Linked DNA regions of Caenorhabditis elegans. The protein of the gene in region 1 purifies or fractionates together with the protein of each later gene. This does not show direct contact. Each region holds a gene or a part of one and is shown in the gene's direction. Other genes may lie near its edges. The genes, in order: lro-1 and spp-5.

The links.
Region 2: the proteins of lro-1 (region 1) and spp-5 fractionate together in Caenorhabditis elegans (co-fractionation; one large-scale study listed by BioGRID). This does not show direct contact.

Annotation. Positions count from the first base shown.
Region 1 is NC_003284.9:6,264,288-6,277,563, forward strand, and holds lro-1 (Lysosome-Related Organelle protein), read left to right. Parts: upstream 1-7,801; 5' UTR 7,802-7,802; coding exon 7,803-8,066; intron 8,067-8,113; coding exon 8,114-8,245; intron 8,246-8,286; coding exon 8,287-8,373; intron 8,374-8,494; coding exon 8,495-8,731; intron 8,732-8,779; coding exon 8,780-8,875; intron 8,876-8,919; coding exon 8,920-9,104; intron 9,105-9,154; coding exon 9,155-9,398; 3' UTR 9,399-9,481; downstream 9,482-13,276. Other genes in the region: W05H9.4 (ANK_REP_REGION domain-containing protein), read left to right, coding at 1-91, 592-1,087, 1,136-1,503, 1,548-2,346; W05H9.2 (Dynein heavy chain 7, axonemal), read left to right, coding at 2,762-2,841, 3,204-3,420, 3,481-3,968, 4,022-4,520, 4,566-4,933, 5,474-6,377.
Region 2 is NC_003284.9:7,314,938-7,326,935, reverse strand, and holds spp-5 (Saposin B-type domain-containing protein), read left to right. Parts: upstream 1-6,581; 5' UTR 6,582-6,582; coding exon 6,583-6,735; intron 6,736-6,783; coding exon 6,784-6,942; 3' UTR 6,943-6,999; downstream 7,000-11,998. Other genes in the region: T08A9.13 (uncharacterized protein), read left to right, coding at 4,528-4,635, 4,683-4,937; spp-4 (Saposin B-type domain-containing protein), read left to right, coding at 8,181-8,333, 8,434-8,592; spp-6 (Saposin B-type domain-containing protein), read right to left, coding at 9,274-9,333, 9,383-9,595; spp-2 (Saposin B-type domain-containing protein), read left to right, coding at 10,193-10,444, 10,777-10,839; spp-3 (Saposin B-type domain-containing protein), read left to right, coding at 11,587-11,733, 11,776-11,931.

The DNA of each region.
Region 1 (13,276 bases):
GAGAAAATAAAGAACCGAGTTTTCCGAAAGATGCCCAACGATATTCTCCATACGATTATGAGTGGCTCTGCGGATCTGTAATTTCAGGACCGTACGTTGATTATTTAAAAAATATTGAAAAAATAATTATTGCATTTGTTAAATAACTCCAATAGATTTAATTCGAACTTTAGAATAAAACCTTCAGCTTAAAAAGTTTCCACCTTGTTAGTGTTGTAGCTGCTGGAAATTAATTCGTGTTTAATGTCTACTCTCTATTGCAAAAAATGTGTGCATCTATCTGTTGAAAAATCACCTTACGAAACCACAAAAACGGGCAATAGAGGGCAGTTATTCAAGAAAAACAGATCTAGAAAAATTAAAGTTTCTAGTTTTAAAAACTTAAAAATACTTTTAAACTGCTCTAAACTGTTCTGCTTGTTGTTAAACTGCTCTGTTTCAAAAAAATATTTGATTAGTCTAAATATGAAATTCAGCTACTGCAACTTTAACATGGCACATAGATTCAAAATAGCTGAAGTTGAATAGTTTATATCATGATCACTCCTTTTCTAGTTAGTTCTACCTCTAAATTATAGTTTTAAATTTCAGTTACTTCCTCGAATGCACCAAGTACTTATGCACCAGCCGCATTGCTCAAATGGACATAACCACACTTCGTCACGATATCATAGCTGCTACCAAAGGAAAAGAATACAAATATTATACTCATATTCGAGTGCCGTTTCCAAAAACCGCCAAGAATAGCAAGGCTCTCGCAGATGCCCTTGCCAACCGGGAAGGCAGCTTGAAAGCGATCAACGCAAAAACTCGGAAAGAACTGAGAAAAGATTTTCCGAGAGGACATCGACTGTTCCACTTTACAACTGTCGCCGATCAATTCTTCATTCTTAGATCTGATATTCGTGCCAAAAAGCGGACTGTAGCTGATTCTTTGATTCGAAGTGATATCAGCAACGTCACCCCATTCCATCTGATTATTGCGGTTTTGTCGGCCGTGGAAGCACAACTTTTGATGGTTCACAAAGTGTACGCTTTGTTTGTAGATGAAAAACTCGGACTATATGGAAAACCACTTCCCCAAAAAGTTTGTTTCTTCAATTAAAATAAATTTCAAACAATTTACAATTTTCAGGTACTCGAAATCGCTTTCAACATTTATCTCATGACTGGAGTAGATAGCTGCAAGACAATGCCGTTGAATGAAAACATTGAAGAATGTCTTCAGAGCTTACGAAAAGCGACTCGCGATTGGATTCGACAGTATTACCGTGGTTATGAGGACAAATGTGAATCTAATTACACCAAAAACGTATACGTCAACATCGAAAGTGGCTACAACTTCTTCCCATACGAACTCAAGGTGGAGGATTTTCCAGAAGAAATTGCCCATCACGCCAAACTAATGATGGAGCACTTATATTTCGAAGAGTTTGAGCTAAACCGCCTAAGCACTCAACTAAGCCAAGTGAGAACTGGGTACTCTAGCTGGCCAAGTAAAGAGTAAGTTGGCATCTTGTATACACTGTATTAACTATATTTTACAGAGGAACGCCTTCATTGTCTTTGAATAATTGCAAGGATCATGTCTATGCATTTCACTCCAATTTCTGCACTGTTCGAGCCGATATTCTTGAGAAGGTCAATGGTGATACAACTTCCTTTGAAGATAGAATGGAATTTGCAAACTATCCGGGCTACGAAATCGTTTGTATATCACACAAAGTGATTGACGAGAAGAAATGCGTGCCTTCAATTGCGGAAATTAATCACGAGTTTGCGGTTGCTTTCAAAGAAGCGTTCGGTACTCGGATTATTGACGATTTCAGTTTTAACGAAATGGCTTACCAATTTGCGGAAATTGTCAACGCTGAAATTGATTTCAACAACCTTCGCAAGAAGTACAAATACCAGAAAGGATCTACAGCGACCGCGAAGAAAATGATAAGTGAAATTATGGAGTTCTACATGGATTACATAAAGAAACGTACAAACCATTTCGATCTGCCTGAACCACCACTGGCCCGACGCCAAGATCCGAACTGTAACCCGTACAGTGACGAAGAATACGACACTGAGTTGGAAGATGAAGACGACGAGGTGGATGGAGATCAAAACACTGGAGAGAATTTGTTGAGCAAGATGTTTGGAGAAGTTTCTCTGGGAGCCGTTTCTATTGGATCTGAGAATGATACTGAAGTCGAGGACCCAACTACACTGGTTATCGAAGATCGCGATCAAGTACCCGATGATATGGTCGATGAGTTCATTCACGGCGTCTTTCATGTAAATCTTGGGATGATTCCGGATTTGTCTGCATCATTATACAATTTGCCACTTGATTAAACATGTTTCAAATTGGAAAACCAGTAATTTAGTTAATCATAACTTATTCTCATCTTTCTCTCTCCTTCATGCTGTGCAATCATTCCCTTGCCTCTCTCGAAATGATCTTTTACAGTAAAAATCATCTTTATTGATTTTGTTCAGGTTTTTTTCTAAAGTGAATTGTCATCTGATTACTAGTTTTACTGTTAATTCAATACTGTTTTTCTATGTGCACCCGTTACCCCAGTTTAATCTATCCCGTCCTGTTCAGCTCTTTTTAATAAAAAGAATTGTGCGGAATTTAATTTAAATTATGTATTTTCTTAAAGCATGGCCTTATTCCCATTTATATATCGATTCGTTTATATTTTTGAACTTTCGTTTTTGTATGCTTCATTCAGTTTTAAAATAGGATAGGTTATTTCAGGTAGTAATGACTCCAGAAGATGCTCAAGCAGCATCCAGTCCTGATCCCTCAAATGGAGTGAGACCAGAGGAACAGGCATTTAGTTTGTAAGTTTTTTTGTAAAGTTTCATGTTAAAAAACATCCCTTTTAAGCTGTGATCTGATTTTTTTGCGTAATTTTCACTTAATATCTTGTCGAATTGTTTCAAAAACTGTTTTTTTTTAGAAGTTGAAAATTGTCTTGAAAATTTGTAGCGTTTTGAAAACTTTCTGAAAAAAACCCGGGAAGTTTAGCTTCTCATGGCAAATCTTAAAAAAATTGTTTTTTTGAGCAATTATACTTTTGGAAATAATGATAAATTGCAGTGAGAGCATTTCCGATCAAAATTTTCTATGAGATGTAAAAAAATAAAATAAAATAGATATTTATTCACATCAAAAGACACCCATTATATGTACCAATTTTCAGAAATTTGATCAACCAAGATATTTTTATCCATGAAGAAATTCGCCGAATTGATACCGTCGTCGGATTGAGCTGCACAATGAGCAACTTGGAAAAGAATTGCAGGGATAGCCAGAGACTGGCCCGATTCATGAAGCCAAACAGTTTTGAGGAAGTTCCAAAATTTGAAACTGTGGATGAATTTCAAGACTATTTCAAGATATCGATTTTGGAGAGAAGGGCGAGTTGCTGAGCACAAAGCCAATATTTTGATTGGAAAATAAATTGAACATCATTTCAGGTCACATTTGATCAATGTCTTTTCATAAGCAAAAACTATGCCGAAAAACGAGCTCAACTCGCTGATAACATTCAAAATCTTACTGATGATTTGTGGTCCAAAGTTCCTGAGCTCAACAAACGACTGGACTATGCGAATTATGTCAATTTTCTGATCACTTACACAGAGATGTTTCATTGGATTGGCACTGTCATGGAAACCGAATATCAGAACGGAATTCATTCGTTTATTCCCTGCCAATTGATTGACATCTTTCATGACTACTTTGAAACAGTTCAAAAAGCTCATAACAACGGGATCGCAGATATTTCAAACTTTTCGTTTCTTCTCTACATTCGTGACCGCATTGTTGACGCTCTACGGGACCATTTCAGCATCGTGACGCCAATGCGTCAGAAGAAGAAAATAGTTGAGCCTCCTCAGGAAATTTCTGATAGATATAATCCGTTTGACTATGAGTGGCTGAGCGGAACAGTTGTCTCTGGAAAGTATGTTGCATAAAAACTATATAAAGGTTAACTTTTATTAAAACATTTTTCAGATATCACTTTCCATTCATGAAATTTCTCGCTATTGACAGAATGCAGCAGCTTGAACTTTCCTACTATCGTGCTGTCATTGTAGCTTCTAAACGAAAGGAAGAACTTGGCTTTTTGAAGAATCTCCGAATTCCATTCCCACAATCAGCTGACAACGCGAACTTGCTTGACAAAGCACTTCAAACCAACGAGACAAAGCTTCGCCAAGACTTTTGCAGGATTTTGAAAATCTTGAAGAAAGAGAGAGGCCTTGACAAGACAAGGGCAGTATTGTATATCCAGAAGATGGAGCAATTTAACGAGTTGTGTGGTGTTGTGCGAAATAAGAAGAAGAGCACCATGGATCAAATCACTCATTGTGAACCTTTCAACATTAAACCAAAGCTTCGTTTTATTGCGGTCATGGCTTCGATTGACGCATTGTTGCTTGTTATTCAGAGAGTTTATGCTCTATTCGTTGACAAGGAAAAAGGAATATATGGCGAATGCGTGCCAGAATCGGTGAGAATAATGGGTTCATGAGGTGAATTTTGTTTCAAATTTTAGGTATTACTCACAGCGGCACAACTTCTCAAAATCACGACAGTGGAGCGTTGCCGAAATGACGACATGGACAAGGAAATCTCTGGAAAACTTGAAGTTCTTCGAGTCAAAGTACACAATGCCGTCAAAAATTTCTACATTAAGAAAGAGTCTATCAACCACGGCGTTTTTGTCGAACCGGATCACGATGAAGCTGCATTGAAAAAAATCAGATTTGAGTTGACCATTTCGGAAAACGAATTCCCTCCCATTGTGATGCACCATGCTTCTCGAATGTTGTGGCATCTGAGACAACAAAAAAAGGAGTTGAAACGTTTGAATAAGGAAATTCATTTCGCAAAAGCTGCCGAACTTTTATGGCCAAAGATAGAGTAAGTTATTTTTCATCGGAGATAGGATATTAAAAGAGGAGGATAGGTTCTGGATTTTTTGGTTGCACAGATAGGCAGATGATTCAAAAAACCAAAATCAACTAGTTTCAAAATTGCATTTCTCACAAATATCTGAAAAAATTAAATGGCCTAAATTAAGCTAATATCTCCTTTTGCCAAATTTCCCGCGTCACAACTGTCCGAATTTTGCTTGTATTAAGTTATCCTTCATTATTGCATACTTTGGGCGTTTATCTCAAGTTATTTAAAGCATTTAAAACCGATGGGTATCCAAAAAGTACCAAAACTGGATTCCAATCGGCATTGTATGTACTTTAATTTACAAAATATAGTGAGAAATACACCCAAAATATGCAATGAAAGATGATAAAACAAAAAAATCAAATTCGCTCGTCTGCAACACGGAAAATGTTTTTATTTGAGCACATTTTGTTTCTAAAATACCCAGAACTAATACTCCTCTTTTCATCGGTGTTAGAATAATAATAATAATTGAATGTTAATGGAATTTTTTTTCAGTGGAGTCATGTTCCAGCTGAACAAAGTACCTGGAATCTGTGCCTTCGTTTCAAACTTTGACGATCATGTTGATCGAGAAAAAGTGAAGGAAGTAATTGCCGCATCAGAACTCGACTGGATGAACCCTGAGCCAGAGTTTCGTGCGGGTGTCGAAATTATCAACGGAATTCATCATATCATGGACAAGTATCGCGGCGTACCACACTGCGTTGAGATCCGAGCAACATTGGAAGCAGAGTTCCACGCAGAAATGCATTTTCAACGCATCAATGGGCAGACTTACAAACAACTTGCGGCTCAGTTCTCGCAGATTCTCATTCAAGAAATTGATCTCACAAATTCTAGAATCAGATATCAAACTAAAATGCAAACAGCTTACCTTGCTCACAGAATTGCCAGAATGATGGCTGGGACTTACATGGATTATGTGTGTAACAACATGAAGAACCCGCCGTCTAGATGCCGTGTAAGAACTCCAACACCAATTCCAGAAGACGATCTTCCAGAAGACACAGCTGAAGGCTCCGAAGAGGGTAGAGAATCTGAAGAGACTGGCTCGGAAACCGGATCGGATTACGCAACAGATGAAGGACCAAATGTCGGACGTCGTCGGGTTAGACGAAATGTAGAATTGGAAAGCGATGATGATGATGAAGATGAAGAGGAAGATGAAGAAGAGGAGGACGGCGTTGAGCGTCAATTTGATCCCGAGGAGGCCGCCAGAGTTGCATTCCTTCTCAATACGTTTTCTATGAATGGAAATGTCATCTTCGTGGAGAATGAAGGTGACGTAGAAGACGATCGCGTTCCAGATGACGTGATTGATAACTTCATTCGCAATGTTCGCAGAGTGCACATGGAGCCGGATATGTCTGCACCATATTTGAATATCCCACTTGATTAATATCTTTTTTCGCTGATTGAATATCATTTTGTTTTTGTTCTACATTCTTTTGTTTCCTCAAAATCTCATCACAACGTATTTCATGCTCAAAAAATTTACCATAATTCCCCACGAAATTTGTAGACGTATAATTTTATCGGATACCACATTTCCAAACTCATCATACACCCCCATCTTCAAATGTGTCTAATTTTATATTGTCCGGTTAGGCTTATTGAAACCAAAGACCTAGTGAGCTTTTTATTATCATTTCCTCTTTTGTTCCATACTCTTTCCCATTGTTTCATGACAACATCCATTGGTCAACGTTCCAAAGTGTTTGGCGCACTGAAGTACGATTTACGAATCAAGTTTTTGGTACCCCAAAAATGATTTGTTATTACTTTGAAATAGAATGCAAAAATAAATTTATTACGTCGGAAATTCATAAATTCAGATGTTTATTACTAATTCTTGTTACTAATTCTTGATCAGTTTGGAAATGTGGAGTTATATTGAAAGTTGAATATTCTGACTGTAAAATATTTTACAAGTCTCGAATTAGAACTAATTCACATGACACGTTTATTTTTAGTTCGAATGGATATTAAGAAAAGTTAAAATAAGTCAGTTTTCGATCTGAAATAAGCAGTTCATTTAGGATTAGCAAGATTAGTTTTCAATAATTTATTGACTTCAAGTAATTTATGTCAAAATTTTTCTTATGTTTTCAGTGTATCAACATATTCACATTTTTTCACATTGTGCAAACTTAAAACTGGTGAATTAAAGTTAACAGGCTTCAACTCGCGTGCCAAGTTTCGGAATGTTTTGTTTGAACCTGAAAAGTGCTGCAACTGCTAATGTAATTTCATTAGTAATTTCGGCAATTTGGGCCCGAAAATGAGCATTGCCGAAAATATAAAGTTTCAAAATTTCTGAAGATTTTAAATCGAATAGATGTTTTTTATATCAGAATGCTCAGTATTCAAGTTCAAATGTCTCAAACCTCAAATTAATAGGTAATTTTTGAAATAGCAAACGGTATCCAACATCCAACAATTACGGCCTTTGTCATGCACTTTTTAGAAATGAGCAAATGCAAAACTTTTCAAAAATTGATTTGAAATTTCCTATTTGCACAACAAGCTCAAAATTATATTGACATAAATTCCAAGTTTGTATCACGAGCATGCTCATTATGAAAGACACCAATTTCAGATCAATCTTATGATTCTAATTGTCATTGTGTTTATTTGCTCGTTCTCCATCATCAACAACATACTGGGCGGACGTTAATTTGTAGCCAACTATCAGTCAATTGATAAGATACCCCACACAATTGGTGGCTCTTTTCTTTTTGTCTGACAGTTGAACAGTCACTCTGGGTTTTTCTTTTTACAATTTGATAAGTTCTGTATTGATTTTTATCATTAACATTTTAGAATGAGAACATTCTCAGTTGCACTGCTGCTTGTCTTTTTTGCGTCGAGCGTTTCATCCGTTCGCTACTACTCCCTTGCTGACACCTTCCAGTCAGTAATTGATACGGAAAAGGCATTGGAAGAAGAACTGAGAGTTAATTTTGAAAATGCGAGAGCAGCAAGAGACAAATACCGGGAAGAGACTCAGAAGAAACTGAACGAAACGCTTTCAAAGGTATCTGATGCAGTTAAGCAGAGAGCCGATGAATTGGAAAAGGAGAAACAGGTCACAAATCAAAATTTAAATATCAGTTTTCTTATGATTTTTTTCAGGAAAAAGCTGAAGCCAAGAAAAAGGAAGCCGAAGCAGCGATCGAGAAATGGAAGGAGGTTTCTCAACAAGTTGGAGAATTCGTCGAGTCAGTTAAGGAAAAGAAACAAGCCAAGGAGCAAGAAAAACAACAGGTTACTATTTAAATTTTAAATTTTTTGGATTATTATTTCAGAAAATTGATGATTTTGTGAAAACTTTTACGGACAAAATCAAGCAAAAACAAGAAGAAAAAGAAGCACAGAGGCAGGAGCAAATTGAGGTATAAATCACAATTTATTTAAAAAATTGAAATAAGAATTTGAAGTAATGACGCTTTATTTGTATTAAGATATTACTAACTACTACTTGGTTTTTCTTTATAAATGCTCATCTTATTCTAGAAATGGAAGCAAGCCTCTGAGAAGCTTCAACAACAAAGAGAAGAGTTGAAGCAACAAATCGATGCAGCCAAACAAAAGCTTGATGAAAGAAGAAAACAGAAACTGGAGGAATTGAAAACCGATTTGGCTCAAGTCAAAGAGCTGGTAACTGCTGAGGTGAAGCGTCGCGTTGACGAGAAAAATCAACGGCTTGGCGAACAAAGAGAAAATCATGAAGCTTTAAAGCAACAGATCAATGTGAGTTTTTGGCAATGTCTTCCAACTGATTTCCCATCTTGATTTCAGGATAAACTTGCTGATATTGAGCAGCAGGGGAAGAATGTTGGTGATCAGGCAAAAACATATGAGCAGAAGAAGGATGAACTTTCGGATCTTATTCAGGTAATTTAGGGATTTTAATGTCTTCATGCAATTTTTGATATCAGGATCTAATCGGGCAAGGTGTTAAGGATAAGATGGCCAACCAAATTTCGGACAAGCTTCAGGGTCAACTTGACAAGGCAGCCTTGAAAGAAGTTTTGAACGAGAAGAAAGTTGAACAAGCTGGAGCCCCACCACCGGTTAATGAGATCCCCGTTGATATTGCTCCGAAAGCAACAATTCTTGACGAGTTAGTTACTTACTATTAGCATCGAGAAATACCTAAATCACGATTTTCAGAATCACCGGAAAAGCTGCATGGGAGACTGTAACCTGGGTTCTTCTTGCTCTGTGCATCCTTCTTTCAATCGCCTTAATCATTATCATTGTTTATCAAGTCAAACAACGCTCTGTCTACGAACGGCTCGACGGCAACAACCAGGTTTACAATCCAACATCAGAAAGAGCCCCACTTCTTCCACCACCAGCAACTCCAATAACTGCTCTACCACTGGCTCCTGCCAAAGAAGAACAGCAGTTTTAAACTTTGTTCGATAACCATGTGATTGTATTATAAAATTGTTTGCACATTGTTTTGCCATTTTTCACGTATAAATTTTTTGATTGATCCTGGTTATTATTAAAAACAAAACAAATTAAGGGAGCCTGTTAGTGTTAAAATTTGGGAACCAAAAATTATAATGCCACGTCAACTTCAAACATTTTCAAAAAACGAAATAAATAATTTCAAGAATACATATGTATTGAAAATTAAGAAGGGAACCAATTTTCTAAACAATCTCAACGGAAGTTTTTAATGAAAGTTTTGATTTTGGAATGTTTTAAAGGCAATGCACGTTGCCGTATGCACGTTGTTTAAACTCATTTACATTAATCTTACATGCAGCGAAAAAAACGCATTGAAAAAATTCAAAACATTTTTGGTGGGATGACAAATTTTAAAACAAAATTTCCGTTTTTCAAAAAACTTTTGTCGAATTCCAAAGGTTTAATATTTGCAAACCGAATAACTGCCACATTCCATCTGTAAATTTAAACAATTCAGAACATTTCTGAAAAGTTTCTCGAATTTCTCATTGGTGCTGCTTTACCTTTGCCATTATTAACTCGTCAAATTACAAAATAACTTCCGCAATCGGAGACTTGAGACTTGACAGCCGAAAACCAAATTCGATTATAACTGAACTGTACGATTTTGGTTATAGTTTGTATTTTTTTTTGTACTTTAATGACGTAAATTATCGTCATATTATTCTGCTCGATGAGCAGTTCCCAAGCATGTGATCAGTCTGTTTAAGAAATCATAGAAACATTAAGAAATCACTACAAACTAGATGATAGACATCTAAAAATATAATCAGTTGTGACTTGTGGTTGCCCTTTTATTATTATGATTATTATGGATTGTTGCACGTTGAATAAAATGACTGAAACAATATGTAATTTGAACTCGAAAATACGTTCAGAGGGATCTTTTTTTCAGAAGCATTGTAGGTAGATTTTGTAATACTTAGAAACCTATTAGCATTTGAGTATAGTTTTTTATATCTACTTGTTTCACCATCTTAAAATTCATTTTTGATTATTTCAATAGAACACATGTTATATCCTCTATTAGTTTTACTGTCTCTATTAGTTGTGCACCCCTATTAGCCTTGCACCCTTACAAGCCAATCGAAAATTAGTCTTGCAGCCTCTATCAGTATTGTAGTCTCTATTAGTCTTGCGCCCCTACGGACAAATTGAAAATTAGTATTGCAAGACTAAAAGTCTATGCAAGACTAAAAGAAAAAATACGGTAAGCTTTATCTGGAAATACTAGCGCTTAAATTTTTTTAAACCTTTTTTTTTTTCGTGTAAATAAGTTTTGTTCCATTTTATTGTTCCCTAAAATTGAAAAGATTTCAATTTCGACATACAAGGTCGATAACGTTCTTGATCACGTCAGACTTTGACATAGCTATTTGTAAAAACAGTTCCAATTACTCGATTCTTGGTATTCCTATGTAGTAGTACTACTCGTCAAACAAATTCTTCTTCCGACATGAGAAACATAAATTCGGAACGACTTCTGTGGCCTTGCCTTCTATTTTTCCATTTTCTGAGTACGATGCATCTTTTTTTGTTCTTGATATCAGTTCTATTTGACGGCCACCGTCTTAGTTTTTGTCTTGTGTTGGGCATTTGCAAAAACTACGAAAAACTATCAACGATGGAATGAAAGAAAAAAGAAATAACATTTCCTTCACTCTAACACAACTTCGGTTTCCCTTGTTTTAAAAGATGAGTGACCGACAGCCAATGAAAGCGGGTAGTAGACAGAAACAACTTACGGTGTTTGATTTACTCAAAAATAAATCAGATCACACCGAAACACAGATTCATGAAACTTGGTTAATTCTGATAGTTGAATCTAAACGTAACCTTGAAAAATGATTGAAACCCTTTTTTATGGGTGGCGGATACTAGGGTTGTAACGGAGGTATGTAATAACAGGAAGTTAACCGTTTTCTTGCCTGTGATCGTCATCAAGGCAATCTTCAATATTACAAGAAATAACTGATAGATCTCATTTGTAGAATAAACGTTCAAATGTATGTATACTGTGAAAAAGAGATATTGCAAGTAATCTATCAATCTGCAAATATTAAAAATCAGAAATTAGAAATTTCAAATCGAAGAATTTCTGGAAGATATTTGAAAAAGTTCAACTGATTTCAAAACGAGAAAATTTGTATACTTGTCATTCTAATATTTTATACATGTCATGTCTTATGCAATGTATGCAATGTGTTTGCAATGTATTTACAATCGTTACGAAAATTGACTTAATAGTATTTCCAATTTCAGAATTTCAGACTGGAAATGTTTGTTCTGAAAGGATAAAAACGGTCCCGACAAGCCCATCACCAGAAGCCTTTCTTTGAGCATAAAAAGTATAATTTCTCATTCACAGAAAAATGCTGAACTGGCCAAAAAAAAATTTTTGATGAGCAAAAGCACATGCAGTACATGTTTTAAACAGTTGTTCGGTTTATTTCGATTTTTGGTTGAGTTTTCCAACTTTATTCGCTTATTCAAAAATGTAGAGGATGGGTTCGATTTCGCAGTTTCATATCGAAATTTATAAATTTCCAACAAAAATTGCATAATCAAAATTTGCCGATTTTGCCAAAAAAATATTTGCCCATTACCGCTAAGTTAATTTGCTCAGAAAACGTGAAAAAGGTTAAATTTTGTTACATAGGTCCACAAAATATTTATTCTAATGTGTAGTTTCGTCAATTTGAAAGATGATTTTTTGAAAAACAAATTGATCTTCTATTACCCTCTATATTTTAATAATATATTTCCACATTCCAAACTTCTTCCCTCTATACTACCGATCTTTGAAGATAACAACAAAACTTGAATTTGAAAATGTCTGAAAAAAAGGTTTTAGTTCACATTTATCAATTTTAATGTGAAAGTCTGAATTATTTATGCATTCGAATATTAATCACCAAAATAATCGCACTTTTTGAACGCCCACACAAGTTCCTGCGACAATATTGTTGCTTGTGATCGATTGGACCTAATGGCCCATTAATTGGTTTGCATTGTTGTTTCTTCCACCAAAAAAATCTGCCAGGACCGGCCCCGTGTGAAATGATTGCAAATGATGGGCTGATCGCTTTCGCTCGTCAACTCCTTGTTTGAATTTTCTAATGAGAGGGAAGGATTCTATGAATAATGTATGACGTTGGGTTTCTCTTGTCATACTTGAAAGGTTATTCCTTCTTTGAGTTTTGTTGTCAAGTTAAACCACAAAAGACACAGATTACATTCCCAAGCCAGGGCAAAATGAACAATAAAGGATATTTTTTATCTGTGTTTCGTTCCCAGAAATAAAAACGATATCCCACTGAGTTTTCTTGCAGAAAACACACACGTTTGACATTGAAATGTGAAACGGAATATAAATGAGCTGAAAGACCAAAGAATGCGGAGATAATGGATTTTCCTTTTTTATCGCTAAGAAAAATTAATTCCTCGAAATGTCATCTTGATTACACAACATTGAAATTCTTGTGTGTATTTTGTTTGTTGTGATTGTTTTTGGGGCACTTGTTTATTTAATGATGGACTACTGTTGTAAGAATTGGATACGGGCATTAAAGTTAAAACATCGTTCACTGTTTATTTTCTGTCTTCGGCTAGCAAGTTGACCAACCTTGGTACCAATTACATCAAAGCTAGTAGTACCTCCCCAACAACTGTCACATAAAAACGTAAACATGATTACGGGCACTGCCGACCTTGGAGGAGGCAGTGAATTAAGATCGAGATAGACAACTGCATATTTGAATTTGACTTGTATGGGTACAAATGTTGATAAAATCAGGTCATTGACGTTTTAAG
Region 2 (11,998 bases), 1.0 Mb from region 1:
GAACATCTAAATCTAGCTTGTCCGCAGGCAGCATTAAATTCATTAAAGACTTGTTCATTAAATCACCGTGGAGACAAATTTAGTGAATGCATACTGAATTATTAATGAAAATTGAATGAGGAAACCGACTATGGAACGATGAAAAGTGAGCTCAAACCAATGAATATTCAATAACCGGCGTAGATATGGGAAATTTTGCGGTTTCGGAGAGAAATGATTTGGTCAAGAACAAGAACGCTTATGTGAAAAATTGAAAAACGCGGCATATTTGTTATTAAATTACGTCTATTGAATTGATCAGTAACTGAGCTGGAAACAGAGAATCAATCATGAAAAATATAACTTTTTATAAACAATTGCATAGAATACTGACCTGCTAAGCAATTTGAAAACATTATGGTGCCTGCATTAAATGTGTAATTGTAAAAAATTGTACTGCTGCAAACAACTCAAAACGATCCAAACCCTTTCAGTTTTCGATATTACTTTTTGACAATTTAAACATATATGAAGCCTTTTCTTCAAAAAAGAAAAAAAAACTTCACTAATCCACCTTTCATTTTGTGTACTGCTTAATATTAATAGTTTTCATTCAGTGGAAAATAAAAGTTTTTAAACATTTGAAACAAACCTGAATGAAATTTTTTTAAAACCTAAACGTTAACCTAAAATTGAGTTTAAAGAAAAATTGAATCTAAAGAAAATGTTTGTTTTCAGTTAGAACATGACGTATCTTGAAAAAACAAGCATCAGATGAAAAAAGGAACAACTTCACTAATTAAAAGGAAGGAAATATGCCAGAATAGTGCAGGAAACAACAGACTTATTTATTCAGAAAAAATATTAGTCTTTGCAAAAAAAGTCAAGCAAAAAAATGTTTAGTAGAAGTAATTAAAATTCAACGGAAGATGATGTACAGGGCATGCATTTCCCTAAACAGGAACACGCTCTGGTACCTTAGGATTTTAAATTTTCGACATTCACTACTTACGGAAACAAAACTTTAAAAATTCCAATGAATCGAAAACGTCGTTGGAAATTTAAACAAAAAAATAATTAAAAGTTTTAGCCGTACCGCTAAGTTTGGAACAATTTTGAAACATGATTTTCTTTAATTTCCATGCTTAGGTTTTTTCTAGATCTGGAATGCAATACAACTCAATATGTTGATTACATTATCAATTTATATAGAAGTGAATGAAAATTTTGTTCAAAAGTTTTTTTTTTAACTTTACAGTGTTTATCAATCATCAAGAATAATTTGAGTTGCTTCTTTTTTGTTAGTCGCTGCTCAATACTTTGAACAAGCTTAGATAATTAACAATTAATGTTCAATTACTATTTCATATTCAAAAAAATTTAATGGAGAATTTTGATGGAATGGAGAATATTGGGAAAACTGATGGGGTAACTTCAAATATGAATTATTTAATAAATTATTTTGGGCTATTTGTGTAAAATATAATGTTGTATTTGATATTTGTTTTAATATTTGTTAACGTTTTAAGCAATTTCCATATGCATCGCAAATGATATTGTAGTCTGCAGCTCATAAAATTTGGAATTTCAGTAAACAACCTTGATTTTAAGAAATTTCTAAGCTTCAATAATTCTTGTTTTTTGTGTAGTTTTTTTGTTTAAAGCCAATTAAAACATTAAGCTTTCAACACTATTATAATGATAACTATAAAACTTTTGATCAAAGTGCTAAGAAACAAAATTGAAGTTCAAAACACCAAGTGTTTGCACATTCTGAAAAATGGTTTTATTTACTAGGGAATGGTCAGCTTAGGGGTGAGGTACCTAGAGACGCCACATATGCCAAACGGAAGCTGAGATCATTGGCTACAAGAATATGCTTTCAAATTCTGCAACGGACCTCTGGGAGTCTGGAAATTCTTGTCTGAAATTATGCTTTTGAATGCTCGAAAGTGGTAAGAATTTAGAATTTATTACAGAAAACGTTTAATTAATAAAATTAGTTTTATACTTGAAACAAGTACTGTATGCACTGTATCAAAACACATTTTCATCTTTTCTAGGTATTCAACTTCACGTTTTTCTGTAATAAATTCTAAATTCTTACCACTTTCGAGCATTCAAAAGCATAATTTCAGACAAGAATTTCCAGACTCCCAGAGGTCCGTTGCAGAATTTGAAAGCATATTCTTGTAGCCAATGATCTCAGCTTCCGTTTGGCATATGTGGCGTCTCTAGGTACCTCACCCCTAAGCTGACCATTCCCTAGTTAGTGAATTCGTTTTTATACTCAGGTAAAATTTGCGGCACACGTAAATTTATTTAAAGTTCTTGATAATTTTTGGTTTTTGTAAATGAAAAGCATAGTTCAAAAATTAACGTTCATTTTTAGAATGGCTTCCCTAATAGGCTTTTCATCCCTAAATAAATTGCGTCCCCATTAGTATTGTAATCAAAATAACCAATTGAAAATAGTTTTTCCTGCAATACTAATAGGGAAAATACGGTATTTATCTTTGCGACGTAATTTTTACTTGATCTGAGTTACTGGTCAGCACAATTTGGTTTCCTTGTGTAATTATTCCCATAGAAACTCCGCACAGCTTCCCAGCTTACGTAAGACACACGAGTTATTTTTTCCCAGAGAAATAATAACTTTTCAAATCACGAGAGAGTGAGTGATGTTGGTTTATATCATTTCACCAAACGCTTTGTTGCATTATGAACTTGACACTCCAAAACAACGAGTAAATATTTTTTGTTCAAAATATTCCCTCTGTTTGTGAAAAGAAAAAGTGTGTATGAGGATCGAATCATCGGTTTATCAACTGTTTCCCATCTGTTCTCGTCTATTCTCAGCATCCCCTCGTTCTGACACTCGTGTCCCCTTCTCTCACATTAGTTTGTCTGGCCTCTACTGTCCTCATTTATTGTCTATTTCTAATGATGCTACGCGGGAGAAAACACACCAAATTTTTGTGAATGCTCGGTTGAATCTACATAGCATTAGTCAATTCATCGAAATTTGACACTAATATATTGCTCTCCAGTTTGCTTTTGAGAAACGTTTATGTTTTCCTTGTACCAAAATCAAAACTTGAACATTCGATACTATTTTGAGGAAAAATGTTTTGGAGGTATGGGGAATTGAACCCCAGCCCTCTCCCATGCTAAGGGAGCGCTCTACCACTGAGCTATACCCCCTGACAAACGTTGGCATTTGATTAGCACTCATGTCACGGCCGCTAATTTATATTTTCCCACTGATAACGATTGTGTCCATTCACGAAAGGTGATCATTGGTTGACTAGAAATCAAACCTTTTCATTTGCCCAGCCACTCATAGTAATTATAATAATAACAAAACTATGTCTGGAAAAGGAAATGGTGTTTCATTCACCTACTCGAATCACGTTTCCGATTTTTTTTTTAATTTGAAGTTCATATACGTTAGTCTGCAATCACGTTGGAAACGATTTTGAGCATTTCGTAATACTTCATTAGCTTTTGAACGATTCTTTTGAAATTTTTGAAAGCAGCATTACATTAATAAAAAATTCAATTTTAAATTCGAAATAAAATTTCACTTCTATCCTCAGGACCCACTTTATCTTCATGAATCATGTTTAGCATATCTTTCCGAATGATCAGTCAATCCACGAAGCGTGAACAAACATCAGATACAAAATGAGTGAAGTGGCAGAATTAATAATGACGCAGAGTTATTCAGGATGTTTTTTTCAGCGTTTTGCTCATTTTAATTTTGACTACTAAGGGTCGAAACATTAATATTTCAAAACAAGGTCATTAAAATTATATGTAAGTATCATGCTGTAATGTTTTATATTGTAATTTTTCCACCTGCTTGGTTTAAAAATTCTTTAGGGTTAGAACAACTTTACTTACTTTTTAGTTTTCACTATCCTAACTTAATTCTTCTAAATTTAAAAAAAACAAGCACTGTGAAGTTTCAGAACAAAAACCTTACTCGTCTTGTTGATATTCAATGCTTAAGAATTAATTAAAAACGTTCAAAAACCAATGCGATAACTCTCATTCACAAGTACTAATCCCTTTTCATGCAAAACTCATTCATCTTTGCTCATTCTTCACATCAGTCATTAACATGAACTTTAAAAAGTCTGAATTTTGTTCTATCTAGTATTTTTTTTTTAATGTCAATGTATTCACATCTAACATCAGCTCCAATTGCAGTTTCGTTCCAGCACGTGATTTTCAGAGATGCAGATCCGGATTAGAAACATAAAAAACGCTTCTTAAACTGCCCCAGCGATATTGCTCTCTTGAACTATTAGTTTATTAGTCGCTCAGTGTGTGTGAAAATCAAACCCCATTCATCAATTTTCGTTCCGACTTTATGATGCATAAAAGTCACTTTTATAAAACGCGACTTTGGCAAAGATCTCCATGGTTTCATTTATATGTAAACTTCTGCTCTGTGCCTTTTTTGTTGTTTTTTTTTTAATTTTTGATCTGTGCAATGCAAAAAAGTAAGTTCTCTTTTTACCATCTCAAATTTCAGTCAAAATGCCAATGCCACTTCGGTTTCTTGAATCCTCACGGCCAAGCGTCAGCACTGCACCAATTCCAGTAGACAATATTACCGACCCACATGCCAGACGAACAGCAGAACTCGTAATTTTCGAATCAGAATTATTTGAACTTTAAAAACAGTTTTTCAGAGAAACGCAGAACTGGAAAAGCTTCAAAAAGCGAAGGAGCTCGAGCAACGAACTAGGGTTGAATGTCAACAGGCTCTTGACCAATACGATGTACTGAAAAAAATCCCAACATTGACGGAACAAGAACGGAAAGAAAACGAGACGCTCACCAAAAAGAAAATAGCTAAAGCCATTATTGCTGCACAAAAAGCTTCTCAAGCTGTGATGGATGCACGTGTAATTATGGGAGCCAAAGGCGAGGAACTGACAAAGTGAAAATAATTGATTTGTCTGTTAAAATTTCTAAATTATTGAAATTTTATAATTAATAGGTCTCAATCTGATGCAGTCTTTCCATATGAACATTGTTGCATTGTCTTAATTCTGACATGGTCTTGGTACATTGTCTGTCCAACATTTCAAAGCAAAATATCATTATTTGGGAAAATCTTTAAAAGCATTTATATGTTGTTAAAATGACCCAATATCAAAACGCAAAACGTTAGAAAAAAATTATCTATGAGCAGTTAGTTCGATGATATTGGTTGAAAACTCAGTTAAATATGACTATACTTTTGTAAGTCGGCCAAAACATGTTTTTTTGAATTTTCGCCAATTTTTAACCATGTTTTAAATAGTTGTCATTGACCAATATAGAAATTTTAAACCTGCTGCATCGCTTCCATTTTTTTTTCAAAAAATTTACTTAAAAAAGGCCAGTTACCAAAACTTCGATTGAAAATTTTGAATTCCCTATTCACAATGGGAGATCAGAAGCAAAGACAAGGAAATGAAAAATTATATCAACACTTTTCCCATAGGGAGTGAATTAATTTTGACTCTTAAAGCTAGACAATGTGCGAATATTTTGAATGTTACCACATGATAAGTTTTTTGTTAGAGTTATGCGATATTGAGTCATAAATCGGTTATAATATCATACAAAGGATCTTAGGTTTCTAGGGAAGTTAATAGAAACAGTCTATGCGGGAAAATCTGAAACGGAATGAATAACCTCACGTTCAAAGATATAGTTGCAAAAAAATATTAAATGTTGTTTCAAACCGCTCCGAATACAAATGCCACAAGTCCTTTCATAATTTTCAGAAACAATAAAGTTTTATCTAAAACTAATCCATTGCCTCGAACCTCTCGGTAAATCTAGTGGACACTATTTTGTTAAACAACTTTTACTTACTATGAATCTAAACTTATTTGATGACTATTTTTGCAGTCTTACAAAATTGAATAAGTTGAACAACATTATTTTTCCAGATGAACATCAGAGCGGAATAAAACACTGAAACGTTGTGGAAACTAAATACTACCGCCGAAACAGTAATATATTTCTGGAAAAAAATAAACACCTACTTCTCTTACTTTGTGGTATTTTTACTCGAAAACAGTTATATATTCAAAATATAGTTTCATTAATTTTTTAAATTCATGTTTATGTCGTGGCGTGGCAATAATACTAAATGTTTATATTAACTTGAAAGTTCGCAAAAAATTGATCATAAACGAGTTTATATTTGTACATTACCTACTCGTTCTATCCAAAGAAAGTTTAAATATATTTACAAATAACAACGTAAGTTGACGTTATTCTAAATGTCATACATCTGGATCGTTAAAAAACAGTTATCATGCATTGCAACATAGTATAAATGTTTAGTACATTCCTGCAAGCCGGACAATTTTCCTATTTATCACGAGTTTAATGCATATGTTGTCGATCTGTAACCTTTTTTCTATTCCATACATTATGCTCTCCGCTTTCGACGCTGCTTCTTATCAAATGGTCAAGTAATCAAAATTGGGAAGTTTTTGCTATAAATGCGCCCCTATCACCGCGTGCTCTTTCAATTCTTCCTTGCGTTTTGATGCTTCAGTGTTTCATTTCAATTTATTTTATTACAGAATGAAGACTCTTCTTGTACTAGCCGTTTTGGTCGCCGTTGCCTCAGGACTTGCCATCCCAGAAAATAGAAGCGCATTGAGCTGTCAAATGTGTGAGTTGGTTGTCAAGAAATACGAAGGATCCGCCGATAAGGATGCCAATGTCATCAAGAAGGTAATAAATCCGTGCTAGAAAAAAACCAACAACTCTTGAATATTCTAGGATTTCGATGCTGAATGCAAGAAGCTTTTCCACACCATCCCATTCGGAACCAGAGAATGCGATCATTACGTCAACAGCAAGGTAGACCCAATCATTCACGAGCTGGAAGGAGGAACCGCTCCAAAGGATGTGTGCACCAAGCTTAACGAATGCCCATAAACGGATCATTGAAATTTTTACTTGTTTGAAACTTTTACCAATAAATTTTCGATTTTTAAAAGTTTCAACCAGAATTTTGATAAATATAGAATAATTGTGACCAGAAATGTATTGGACCTTATTTTTTAGAAAGGGCCTCAAGTCTAATAACGAATCATAATAGTACTGATAAGGACTGTAATCCAAAAAGCTTCAATCCAGGAGAGTGGGGAACAATTGAAAAAATGTGTATCATTATGATTTTAGAGTTTGGAACTTGCCCGGTCTGCACACCATGTACACGTGACTGTTATTGCTTGAAACGCTGAAAGCTCGTTGCAAGCTTTTCTTGAGTTTCTAGAATTATCTTGAAGCTTGAAAGCTTTTCGCGCACAATTATTGATTGAACAGCGAAAAATGAGTACACTTTTTTCAAAACCTTTGATACTTTTTTGACACATTAGGAGTTTGGTTTGATAAGTTTTCTTTGTGAAATTGTCCTGCCCTGGACACCTAATTTTTACAGATAACAACATACAATTTCAGGGAAGTGCCGCGTCTTGATGATTTGCAATATATAATACCTGTAACTTTTTCACAATTATCGAAACTGTGATCACGTGAAATCACATAATATTCCGTTTATCTACGGATACAACAGAAAATTAAGTTCAATAGATCAAAAAGTCATCGAATTCCTTCAAAAAGACAGAGGGAGTCTGAAAAAAATTTGTTTAATGTAGGAAGTCGTATGCATAATACATTTGTTCACGTAATTGAGCAGAAAATAATTTATGTTTTTTTCCGTAATTCAAAACTAGTCACAAATCACACGGGTTTACACTAACGTGAATTTTTAATTTTTGTTTTATAGCAAATTATGTGATTTGTTACAAAGTTGAAAACTCCGAAATTAAATTTAAAATATTTTTCTGAAAAGCGGGATGAAAGGAGAAATAGGAAAACGGTATACGTACTTGCAGTAAATGTAAATGGGAACTAAAAATGTACCCGCATTGCTTCTGACGTACTCCGTTCTATAAACTGTTTTCCTCCGGTTGTACCGGCAATTGTTCCGGCAATCAAACTAAAATCGACAACGATCAAAAACATAATTCCCATTTGAATACGCTGCTTATCAGAAAACGAGATAATCAGGCTTGAGTGCCGATATAAAATAACCTGCGTCACACGTGCCAGATAGATAATTTAGATTATTTTCAATTCCTAATTTCATTCAAGCAGTTTCATTTTGCAGTATGAAGACTCTTCTTGTGCTAGCCGTTTTGGTTTTCGTAGCCACCGCCGTCGTGCTTCCACACCAAAGAAATTCCCTGGGATGTCAAATGTGCGAGCTTGCCGTCAAGAAGTACGACGGCTCCGTTGACAAGGATGTAAATGGTATCAAGAAGGTCAGGATTTTATTATATACTTTTTGCTACTAGAATGACATCATCATGTAGTGTTTCTCAGATAAATTAGCAACTATATAGAATAGGAAGTTTTTTCCAGGACTTTGACACCGAGTGCAAGAAACTGTTCCACTCTATTCCATTTGCCCCACAAGAATGTGAACACTATGTAAACACCAAGCTTGACCCCATTATCAAGGAGCTCGAAAGCGGAACTGCTCCAAAGGATGTGTGCACAAAGCTCCACGAATGCCCATAAACATTGACGTGTTATAATTGAACCGGAGAACTTATTTTTAAACAATTTAATAAATCAGTTTTAGAGAGGTTTTTGGCTGATAGCGCCAGCCAACAGCCGACTGACAAATGTTCGTTGCTTTTCGGCTCGTGAACATTTTTAACAAACTAACAAATTTTGAAGAAATTTGCTAGATTTGCCTAACTTTATTGGCTGGCTGTACTAGTCGACACCCGAAAAATCAGTCAGCCGCACACGCCTGATTGACACTTATTCTAACATGAAATTTATTGGACAATGAAAATGAAAACGCGAGGAGCTTTACCTATGAACAAAAGTTAATAAATTTTTGATTTTTTTTTGGTACAAACCCGCCTAAATAATTTTAGGTTTTTAACATCATTTTTTGCTTTTTTTTGCAACAATTCGTGAAAAAAAAATTTATTTAGTATTGCACTCCCTATCAGTCTTGCACTCCCTATTATTATTGCAAACCGGGAAGATCATTCGAAAAATAGTATTGCAGCCATATTAATAGAAGAAATACGGTAATTAAATACTTGCGATTAAAAAAAAATTTTGATAAAAACCTTGTTATCTCTACATTGAGTGAAGCTTAAAATCAATAAATAACTTCAGATTGATTGAAATTTTGCATGCTTTATTCAGTACCAATTTTCAGTTTTGAAATGGCATAAAAGTTTATGAACACTCGCCAAGTTTTGTGCAAACATCTTTTGGAGATGTTCCACTTTCGAGCTCCTGAAATAATAGTTCTTCATATTTCATCATTAAAATATGTTCTACTTACTTTAATGATTGGATCCAGCTTTTTATCGACGTAATGCTCACACTCTCGTGGCGCAAACTGAATCGAGTGGAATGCCTTTTTACATTTTGCATCGAAATCCTTTTTGATGTCGTTGGTGTCTTTGTCAGCATCTCCATCGGCACTTTTCACCGCAAGTTTGCACATCTCGCAGTCTAAGGCATTGCGTTGTCTCAACCCAGTCATACAAGTCATACAAAGATCACGGAAGTCACGGTTTTTTACGGAAAATCATGCTTTTTTGCAGTCAGATAAGAATATTGAAAAGTGATATATTTATTATTGTTTATTGAAATATCTCATTTTCAATTCAAAACCAAATAGGAAAATGTGTTACACATAGATTATCTATATATCTGATGTGTTTCAACCCTTCAAAATTTCGCAGAAACTTTCATCATAATATTTTATCGCACACTTTCAAACAGGACAATATAATAGTTAACGAAGTCACGCATTTTTGATACACGGAACAATTTATCAGTAGCCACAAATCATGAACATTTGAATAGAACTTATTAAATGATAGTGAGGGACCGAAATTCAGCATCAAAGTGAATGTAAACTTGGTGTTTCAGTTATGATTCTCCGAAACACAAGACCTCGTGATCACTAAATATTGTTTAAGCTACATTTTGATTTTGTAATCATAATGCCGTATTATCTTGAAAACTAACCAATCATAAACAATCAGGAATTTAAATCCGCTATTCACGTGATTCGCTCAACAGTATAAAAGTTAAGTTGTCGTTGCATCAATTTGAACTTCTCTGTTCAAACAGTGTGTATAGTATGAAGACTGTACTTGTGCTTGCTGCTGTTGCAGCCGTTGCTCTCTGCGTTGTTCTTCCAAAAGAAAGAAGCTCGTTGGGATGCCAAATGTGTGAACTTGCTGTGAAGACTTATGATGGATCTGCGGATAAGGACGTGACAAGTATCAAGAAAGATTTCGACACCGAGTGCAAGAAACTTTTCCACGCGATTCCATTTGCTCCACAGGAGTGTGAACATTATGTGAACGAGAAGCTGGACCCTATCATCAAGGTAATTATTCAAATATTTGTAACAAGTCTGAGTAGATTTCAGTTCATCCGACTAGTCTATATTAACAACCTTTAAGATTTATCTTTAGTATTATGATATAAATAAACAGCATACTTTCACTTTTCCTAAATTTGAACAATTTGGAGTACAGCTATTTGCGGTGGAACAAGCTTGACATTTTAACCAAAATTTTAAAGAACCGAGAATTATTTCTAAAATGTGTTTTATTACATACTTACGTTATGTCAGATTTTTAAAGTATAATCAGACCAAATCCTCACTAACGATACTTTTACATTTAAATTACCTCCCAATTAAAAAATATGTTTCAGGAGCTTGAAAGCGGAACTGCACCAAAGGATGTGTGCAAGAAACTTGGAGAATGTCCAAAGTAATGGATATACAATTATGTTTTGATTGATGTACGATTATGTAATAAATATAATTTTTATAATAAATGAAATTTTTTCAATTGGCAATAAATATTTTCAGTATTATTTCTAATTTTCCTAATTTCCGAAGTAATTATTTTCAATCGCGGATTTGAAACATAAGTTGACAACAAAACATACACATAAATAATAAAAGTAATAGTTTTAGGTTCGCATCTTGCTTAATTAGTTAGTTAGATTTAGTTAGACTTGATCTATATGCATGAAAAAAATTATATCGGCAAAAAACGTTACAAAAGGTAAATTAGGAAAAAGTAGTACGAGTTTGATTAGTTAAGTTAAAACTTTTCAGCAATATTTTGAGTACCTTTTTAAGTGTTGTCTTTTACGTAACCACAAATACCAAAATTTTGATCTCCTATATATATAAATACTATTAATTGATACTATCCACAACAGTTTTACTGTATGTTTGTACTCTGACCTATTTTCTTATTGGTTTGCTCTTTCAATATCAAGACTGTCGTAAAACACATCCGTGATCAAATGGAATAGCAAAACGTTTCTTATCAAACAATTGCCGAGTGAGCTCATTTTTTCCACGAGGGTTTGGTCATAATGATAAGTGGTTTTCAGTAGTCTTCATGTGTTATAAAATTAAATCATCATTACAAATTATCATCATTTTTAATTTCTTTTCAATATTTTTCATGTAATATCCAATTTAACTATTTATAATTTTTCAGAACTATGAAAACTTATATCCTTCTTGCCGCCGTTACTCTTGCCGTTTTTTTCTCATCGACAGAGGCTAATGGAATTGAATGTGAGATGTGCAAGATGTCTGTCAAGATTGTTGTTCCAATGCTTGGAGAAGACACTGAATCAATTAAGAAGGTAGTTTTTTCTTTAATATTTTTTGTAAAATATCAAATATAGGCCGTCGACGCTGAATGCAAGAAGGAATTCCACAGCATTCCATTCGGAACTCAAGAGTGCAAAAAGTTCATTGACACCAAGCTCGACCCAATCATTCACGAACTCGAGAACGGAACTGCTCCATCTGACGTCTGCACCAAGCTTGGAATGTGTTAAATAAAAATCAGATGATTTTAATAAATTCATTCTACTAAAGTAATGGCAATTAATTCCCAACAATGTT